2 linked regions of the Danio rerio genome follow. The protein of the gene in region 1 interacts with the protein of each later gene in a pairwise test. Links are inferred from orthologs where the notes say so. Each region holds a gene or a part of one and is shown on either strand. Other genes may lie near its edges. The genes, in order: gpr25 and vapb.

Evidence for each region.
Region 2: the proteins of gpr25 (region 1) and vapb interact in binary tests that used the Homo sapiens proteins (3 or more experiments, as listed by UniProt). The two-hybrid records come from large-scale screens. The link is inferred for Danio rerio from reciprocal best matches to the Homo sapiens genes GPR25 and VAPB.

The regions. Positions count from the first base shown.
Region 1 is NC_133186.1:26,792,224-26,796,679, reverse strand, and holds the start of gpr25 (probable G-protein coupled receptor 25), read right to left. Parts: upstream 3,046-4,456; 5' UTR 1,095-3,045; coding exon 1-1,094. UniProt on the Homo sapiens protein: Orphan receptor.
Region 2 is NC_133181.1:52,215,983-52,220,582, forward strand, and holds the start of vapb (vesicle-associated membrane protein-associated protein B/C), read left to right. Parts: upstream 1-1,480; 5' UTR 1,481-1,737; coding exon 1,738-1,795; intron 1,796-4,600. UniProt on the Homo sapiens protein: Endoplasmic reticulum (ER)-anchored protein that mediates the formation of contact sites between the ER and endosomes via interaction with FFAT motif-containing proteins such as STARD3 or WDR44.

The sequences.
Region 1 (4,456 bases):
GATGTATTTCCAGAGCAGGTCTCAGATGTGCCGTTGGAGTAAGAATTCGAGGTGATGTAACTCTGGTGTGCTTGGTCATTTTGACTCAGACAGCTCAGACACAACATGGAAGCTCTGCGTCTGAAATGTTGATCGAGAAAGAAGTAGATAGCCGGATTGACGCAGCTGTTGAGAAATGCCAGACAGCAGGAGAGCATGAGTCCTCTATGTATGACAACATAGGTGTCCTCATTAAGATCTCCATTGATGATCAGTAACGCAACATGGATGGCCTTGAAGCAGTTGAATGGAAGCCAGGAGATCAGAAAGGCTGAAATGATAGCAAACACAATCTTAACCGAATGCCTTCGTCTGGCATCAGTGCGTGTGTTGGCAGGATTGTGACAGTGACGTCGCAGGTTGACCAAAATCGACCCATAACAGAGGCCTAGAATGAGTACCGGGAGCAAGAAGGTTAGCAATATAGTCAGAAGATTCATTCCTTGAACAAAAGAGGATTTGGAATCTTCAGAGCACACCGAATTGTTGATCAAGTGACGGTACGCCAGAGATGGAGATCCTAGAAAGAAGGAAACCACCCACACGATGCCACAGGTAATTTGTGCACAATTGCTGCTGCGGAGAAACCGAGAGTCCATTAGGCGCACCACTGCCAGGTAGCGGTCCACGCTCATGCAGGTGAGGAAGAAGATGTTGGAAAAGCGGTTAACCGCAATGATAAAGCTGCTAATCTTGCATAACACCTCACCAAAGGGCCACTCGTCATAACGGGTCGAAATTGCCCACATTGGCAGCGTGAGAACAAACACGAGGTCGGCTAGTGCCAGGTTCAGCACGAAGGTGTCTACCAGGCGTCCACTTTTCTTGCGCCGCTTTCCAATGACCACAATCACAAACAGGTTTCCCAAAGAGCCGGTGAGGAACATAATGATGTACAGCACAGGAATGTAGATGTTAGACATGGGCAGCAGTTCAGCGTCGGGAAGGGTGTAGATTGGATTCTCGTCCGTGGAATTAATTGGATAGTCATAGTCATATTCACTTGTCAAGCTCATTGTAATTCCAGAGTGTGCCATCTCTGTGCTGCTTGCCATCTGTGCACAAGTGATGGGCAATGAAGAGAAAACCTAGCAAGTCACATGATGGAAACCACAAACTGCAATAACAGGTTCTCTCATGCTCTGTTTCCTTAAAAGTTGTAAATTTAACACAAAGTGACACTTTTCTTTATATTTACACTTCTAAAATATCAATCAGTGATTTATTACATTTTTGGACTTACTGCTCTAGTGTAATTACTTAAAACATTTGAAAAGGCTGTTTTTGCTCATAATGAGCTTATGTACATTTAAAGATGGACACCAGAAGAATCTTTGAGACTAAATAGTTCACAGAATCTTTTGTTTCATAGTAGGAAGAACAGTGTCATTCAATCTAAAGAAGATTTTTGCATTTTAAACAACTTTTAGTGGGATGAAAATGCTTCATGATTGTTCTGGGATCTCCACTGAAGCACCGATGGGAATAAAGATTTTAAGAATTCCATATTTTGTATATGTAATAAATCAAATGTGAGTGCCATGGGATTTTATTGAATGATTTAAAGCAGTTTTCTCATAAATGCGTAAACACTTCCTCTTTGTCAGTATAAGACGAAAAAAAGCACCTTGCAAGCAGTTAAAAGAAAAAAACGGTTGATGTCATGCCTTTTAGTTTTTAATTCAGCTTTGCAACAAACTAAAGAATAAAGTGCAGAGCTTATTTGAGTCATGTGTGATGTTGTGGTTTCCTGGGTTTTACTCTGCATTTTCTAAACTTTAAGACCTTTCAGGCTCAGACTGGATAAGACAAGTTTAGTATAGACATTTAGCTTTCAAAAGCACCAAAAGTTCACTGATGATCAAATTAGTAATCCTTCGGTGAAGTTCTTTTTTAACAAACAAACTGATGTGTAAAGAAAGGGTCTCACAGTTAAATTTAAAGCAACCAGTTTTCTGCTGGTCAGTGTGGCAAATTCATGTGGTGAAATCTTGTGGGAATTTTTGTACTCTCAAGCTAAATCTTAGATCGACATGCAAATGAGTGGATTTCAAAAGTGTAAGTATAACTGTAACACTTATAATATAACTTCACACTTCGTGACAGGTGAATAGACAACAAGAAAAAAGAAAAGTGAGATAATTTCACACAATTGAAAACCTAAAAGGAAAGCTTTTTTAATCAGTATTAAGAAATGTAAGGTGCATTCCAGTGTTTTATCTTACAAAACATCAGTTTTATTTAAATTTGTGTGTGTGTTTCAGTTCTTGTCACTTGTAGGGTTTATCGCAAGCTGGGTTTAGTGGGACCTTGGCAATAAGCTGGATAGTCGAAGATTTCCCGTGCTGATATGTTTGCAAGTCATTAGAAAGACAGTGCCCTTTATTAAAGATATGCGCAACACTGTACAGAAGCCACAAAACAGATCTTTTAAATTCATTACTATCATTCAATATTTATAACATTAAATATTTATTTAATCATGACAAAAAAAATTAGCACAAAAAGAAAGCATTTTTAGACTATTCTGAATATTCTGCCCTGGCAATGGTGTTCAAAACCAAAGCTGACAGATAGTTAACAGAAATAAAGCACCATCACACTTTCTTCTTGCGAATGTGAAGCACCTTTACTTGATTTGCTTGTAAAACTAAAAAGGAAAAATACAAAAGGTAAAAATTACAAAGTGATTACGAAATATCACAAATAATATACATCTTTCACATTTGTAAACATAAACTGACATATTTAAACTGATATCAAACAGCTAAATAAACAATCCAGGCACTTTAATGACGTGCATCTATATGCAAGCTTGTTAGCATTTAAACAGAACATCAAGCATTAAACATTTCAACACTGACCCTCCTTAATCAATTTAACCCAAAGGAAGTATTGCAGATGTTTTCAAAATAAAATTAGTAACTTACAGTCGTTTCTATCACAAGGGCTAAAAGCAAACAACAAGTCGCGTCTCTGCATGGCGATCACAGTCTCTTCTTCTATGACTTTTTAAATATCCGGTTGTTCTAAAGAATGGCGCAATGACATTTTCACAATTACACCACTTAAATAAATCAATGCACAGCTTACCAAACGAATCAACACCATACAGTACACTCCCCGCCTGGTGTATTGCATATACCACTATGCTTTTAATCACTAGATAAAAGTAAAGCTACGTCACATATAGGCCATAAGTACTCCCTGACAGCCCCTTGCTTAGCAGTCTTTACCATAACCTTTCGGACTTTCCCATCAGATGAGGCTACGGTTTTTGTTACGAGGCCATTTGGCCACTCACTGCGCTTAGCTTCCCCATCCTTTAACAGAACAACGTCTCCTTCCTGAATGTTATCTCTCTCCTCAGTCCATTTTCTTCTGGATTGCAAGGTGGACAAGTACTCCTGCTTCCATCGCTTCCAGAATGAATCTGCTAACATCTGGACTTGACGCCACTGACTTTTGTGCAAGTGTCCTAACTCAAAGTTTCCTGGTGGAGTTGGGGCAACACTTGCTTTCTGAGTTAAGAGCATTGCTGGTGAGAGCACTTGAGGCATACTTGCATCTGTAGAAATTGGGGTTAAAGGTCGGGAATTCATAATGGCCATGACTTCTGCCATTATGGTTGTTAAGACTTCATGTGTGAGTCTTGTAGCAGATTTTACTAAGAGCGCTTCCAGAATACGTCTGGCTATCCCCATCATTCTTTCCCACACACCCCCCATATGAGAGGAGTGTGGAGCATTGAATGTCCAAGTGCAGCTTTGATTCTGCAAGAACCCTTTTAGCTCAGAGTCGCCACTGTCGATTTGGAGTTCTTTCCCTGCTCCAACAAAATTCGTCCCTCTGTCTGATCAAAAGTGCTTTACTGGCCCTCTCACAGCCAAAAAATGTCTCAAAGCACAAATAAAGCTTGACGCTGATAAAGATTCCATAACTTCCAAGTGAACTGCTCTACTACTCAAGCAACTGAATATGACAGCCCATCGCTTGTTCTCAATGTTGTGCCCTCTTGTTTTGCGTGTCACCACAGTGAAAGGTCCAAAAACATCAAGACCTGTGTATGTGAAAGGTGGATCTACAGAAAGCCGGTCTGGGGGCAGAGCCGACATCTTCTGACTTTCCATTTTACCTCTTAGCTTTTTGCATAGGACACATTTGTGGATGATATTTGAAATGCGTCTTTTACCGCTGACAATCCACAATCCAGCACTACGTATAGCGCCCTACGTAAAATGCCGTCCTTGGTGAGCCACTTGATCATGATAATGCTGAATTAAAAGATCAGTCACATGATGGCTAGATGGAAGGATCAAGGGATGTTTCTCTGGATCTGAGATGTCAGCGCACTGAATGCGACCCCCGACTCTTAACAGACCTTCCTTGTCCACAAAGGGGTCGAGTCTTAGGAGTG
Region 2 (4,600 bases), on another chromosome or scaffold:
TTTGTGCCCACAGAACTGCCGCTCACTGAATATTATCTCTTTTTTAGACTATTCTCTGTAAACCCTAGAGATGGTTGTGCATGAAAATCACCTTTCTTCCCCATTCTCATGCAGTTTCTCAGGTCATGTCTACATGCCTAAATGCATTGAGTTGCTGCGATGTGATTGGCTGATTTAAATTGGCATTAACGAGCAGTTAAACAGGTGTACCTAATAAAGCGGCCATTGAGTGTATACTAGCATACATTATTAAAAATATTTTATTTCAAAGTTTCAGCTACATTTTTAACATTTTGAAAGGTGAAAAAAAATAATTATGACACAATAATAGCATGTTTCTAAAATATATTCAGAAATATCCCAAATATATTTGTGTGAATAATGCTTTTGTTCATTGAGACTAATAGAGAAATACAGGTGTTTTAGTGAGATGTATTTACAATACAGTAATAAAACTCTTGTATAATTATGTTTAGGCGACACAGTGGCTCAGTGGTTTGCACTGTTGAGAAGGCTGCTTGTTCGTGTCCTGGCTGGGCCAGTTGGGATTTCTGTGTGAAGTTTGCATGTTCTCCCTATGTTGGCATGGGTTTTCTCCAGGTGCTCTGGTTTCCCCTCACAGTCCAAAGACATGCGCTCTCAGTAAATTGAATGAACTAAATCGGCCATAGTGCAGCTGGAAGAGCATCCACTGTGTAAAACATATGCTGGATAAGTTGGCGAAGTTCATTCCACTGTGGCGAGCCCTGATGAATAAAGGGACTAAGCCAAAGGAAAATGAACGAATGAATGAAAGAACTATTTTCAATTATTAAACATGCAAAGCAGTACAACTTTCTTTAGAGGTCATCACATGTTGCAAAGTTACCATAACATGCAGTGTAAAAAGATGATCAAAAGTCACGACAGCATTTTTTAAATGTTATATTAACATAATTAATCAGTCTTTTTTAGTTACCTATTTTAATATAATTTTAATTCATTAATATTTTTTGTTTCAAAGCAGCTTTACATTCAAAATCAGAAAAGTTAGGTTATTAGTTACCATAACTTTATTAGTTACTAATAATTTAAAATAATCATTCATTCATTTTCTTTCGGCTTAGTCTCTATTTTAGAGGTTGCCACAGCATAATGAACCGCCAACTATTCCAGCATATGTTTTATGCAGCGGATGCCCTTCCAGCTGCACTACGGCTAATTTAGTTTAACACTGAATTATTATATAATTAAGGTATTATATGTAAACATAGTTAACCTGCAGTTATATAGTATATAGGTGATATTGTTTGAACACAATCAGTCTTTAAGTATTTAAGCTAACTTAATATTGAGTTTTACGAATTTGAATGAATCATTTTAATTGATTCATAGTTAAATTACCTGTAAAGTTTATAAGATTTACACATTTACAGTATATTTTACAGTGTTGAAGATGCACAGATGACCCATTAAGATCAGCACCTCCACCCTTCACATCAGTCGCCACTACTGAGTGCATACTGCAGGGGCAGGGAGTGACGTCACGGCCAGCCTCCCTCTCTCTCTCCAACAGTCCCTTCCTGCTGCATCACAACAGTCGCTGGCGGATCGGGTAACACTGAGCTATTTCCACTGCCGCGTGGAGTTTTTTATTTCGATAAATGTAACAGAAGTCCTCATCGACTACAGCCTCCGCCGTCAAAGCCCGTCGCCCCCGTCAGTCCGAGCGGTCAGTCCGAGCGTTTGCAGTGGGAGATGGCCAGGCCAGAGCAGGTCCTGCTGCTGGAACCGCAGCACGAGCTCAGGTTCCGAGGTGAGTCCAGAAAGCCCCACACTGACGAGGACTTGCGGATAAAACGCCCTGGATGAAGAGGGAGGGTCAGCGGGTGTGTTTTTTTAGTGGTTGGGGGCTGAAGGAGGCGGCGAGATGGCGTTTCTGGCAGGCCTCGGTGCTTGGAGTAATCATAATAATATTATGGCGCAGCGGTGTGTTTCTCAATCGGTTTATTATTCAAACTCCGCTAAAATGACACCTAATGTGACACGATAAGGTGTTCGCTTTGTGGTTTGTTGTATAGACTGACAAGTGTGTTAGCTTGAGCTAGCTTGATTTAGGCCTTGACATACAGGCTCTGCTGGTGGGCTGGTTAATTCGGTTAGTGTGAAGCGGTTCAACCGGTGTTGCCATGTCCGCATGTAAAATGTCGCTAATCAGATGTGCTCACTATTTGCTTATTTACATAATACAATAGCGAAATGCGTGTTTATCCTACGTGTAGTGTGTGTGCATGTCATGATATATCTCTGTCATCATTGTGAGATGATTTCTCCATTTGAATGACCGCTGTGAGCGAGCTGTCAAAGGCAATTGCTAATCTTTTCCCTTATGCAGACGCTTGCAGGATAGAGTTGTTATTGTAAATATTGCAATAATGAAAATCTGGGTTGATGTGTTTCGGTTTCTTTTGGTGAAGCAATTGGTTATTATTATGTTTTAACTTCTTTTGTCAGAATAGCTAGCATGTAGAGAAATCTGGCAACACTGACAACCTACCTTTGACGCTGCTTCCAGTCAGGAAGTTATTAGCGTTAGTCTGAAGACACCTTTGTTATTATTCCACTTCAAAGTTCAGCATGACGTGGACATGTTGATACTAATGTCATAAACAAAGCTATTCTGGTGTTTTGGATAAAACATTGGTCTTTGGTCGACATTTAAAATTAAATCATTTTCCATTTACATATTTGTTTTTTTTTACAGGATTTCTAGGTTAATGTCATTTAGACTATCATTACATTACTATCACTAAACAGACTAATGCTAGTTTCACTTGTACACTTCATGCCCATGTCAATCAGCTGATCCATAAGACTCACAAAATAAGAATGACTTTCCAAGCTTTTAAATCGCCATATCATTGGCTACATTCCTCATCATTTCTGGGATACTTGTATTTGTCTTGTTCTTTTATAAACAAAAGCCTTTGTGGCATGATCCCCTCATAGAAGAAAGCCATAATTTTTAAAATGTCAATAGTATGTGTAGTTCTAAGTTTAGCAGAAGACTGACAAGGACATTAGCTTCAGCTAGTCTGTTTAGGCCTTGACACACCGCTCTATTGGTGGGTTGGTTAATTTGGTTATGAACTGAAGCAGTTCAACCAATGTTGCCATGCCCTTGATGTTGCATTTGTGTTTTGCTGTCACTTACAAAATGTGCTGTTGAGGGTTTTTTATGACACTGTGTAGCAACATTTTGTTTATCCCACATGCATGTCTTAATAGTTTTCTTTGTCATTATGTGACATTTACTTCTCTCTTTGATCCACTCTGAACATTTCTCCTCATGGTCAGATAATTACAAGATGTATTTCCTGCCATAAGCAGGAATAAACAACTTGAATGCTTGTTTGTGTGATGTATTTTGTTTATTTCTGGCTTAATTGTACAGAAGATGTTTAATATTTTTATGGAGAAATCTGGCCGCCTACCTTGATGCTGTTCCCAGTCAGGAAGACATCAAACACCTGTATTATTATCTAACTTCAAAGTTCATACGACTTTATAGATAATAATGTCATAGTTATGTTGGTGTTTGAAATAAGAATCTTTTAATCCAATGAGAATTCGCATATTTGACATTTCAAGGAACACATTCTTTTGGAAGCAAAGCCGTTGTGAGCCAAACCAGCTTGAAAACATGTTGTTTTTCATAAGAATTAACCTTACACTAGCTCGTGAAGTTCACAATCACAGCATAGACCCTTAACAATGATTTATTGACTGCATGCTGGTCTATTTATTGTACTAATGTCACCTTACCACTAAATATGATACTGCTTTACACTACCTGACAAAAGTAGCTTGTCACCTATCAAAGTTTTAGGAACAACAAATAATAACTTGACTTCTAGTTGATTATTTGGCATCCGAAGTGGCTTATATGAAGGGCAAAGGCCTCTAGATTACTCTTAATTTATTTTATTATTTATTTATTTATTACCAAAATAAAATATGATCATGCCTTAATTTTTAATTATTTCATTAGGACAGTAAGGTCTGACTTTGCTTAGACAAAAGTCTTGTCACTTAACATAAATAATGTACAGTATAGAATATAAAGTCATGGTGCAGTGGAAACAGAAGGAATATTTTGCATAACTCCCATGATCTTGGACAACTGCATCCATACATCTCTGCAATGACTCAAATAACTTAATAATAAAGTCATCTGGAATGGCCAAGAAAGCGTTTTTGCAGGACTCCCAGAGTTCATCAAGATTCTTTGGATTCATCTTCAATGCCTCCTCCTTCATCTTACCCTAGACATGCTCAATAAAGTTCATGTCTGGTGACTGGGCTGGCCAATCCTGGAGCACCTTAACCTTCCTTGCTTTCAGGAACTTGTGGAAGCTGAAGTATGAGCAGGAGTGGTGTCCTGCTGAAGAATTTGCCCTTTCCTGTGGTTTGTAATGTAACGGGCAGCACAAATGTCTTGATACCTCAGGCTGTTGATGTTGCCATCCACTCTGTAGATCTCTCGCACGCCCCCATACTGAATGTAACCCCAAACCATGATTTTTCCGTCACCAAACTTGACTGATATCTATGAAAATAT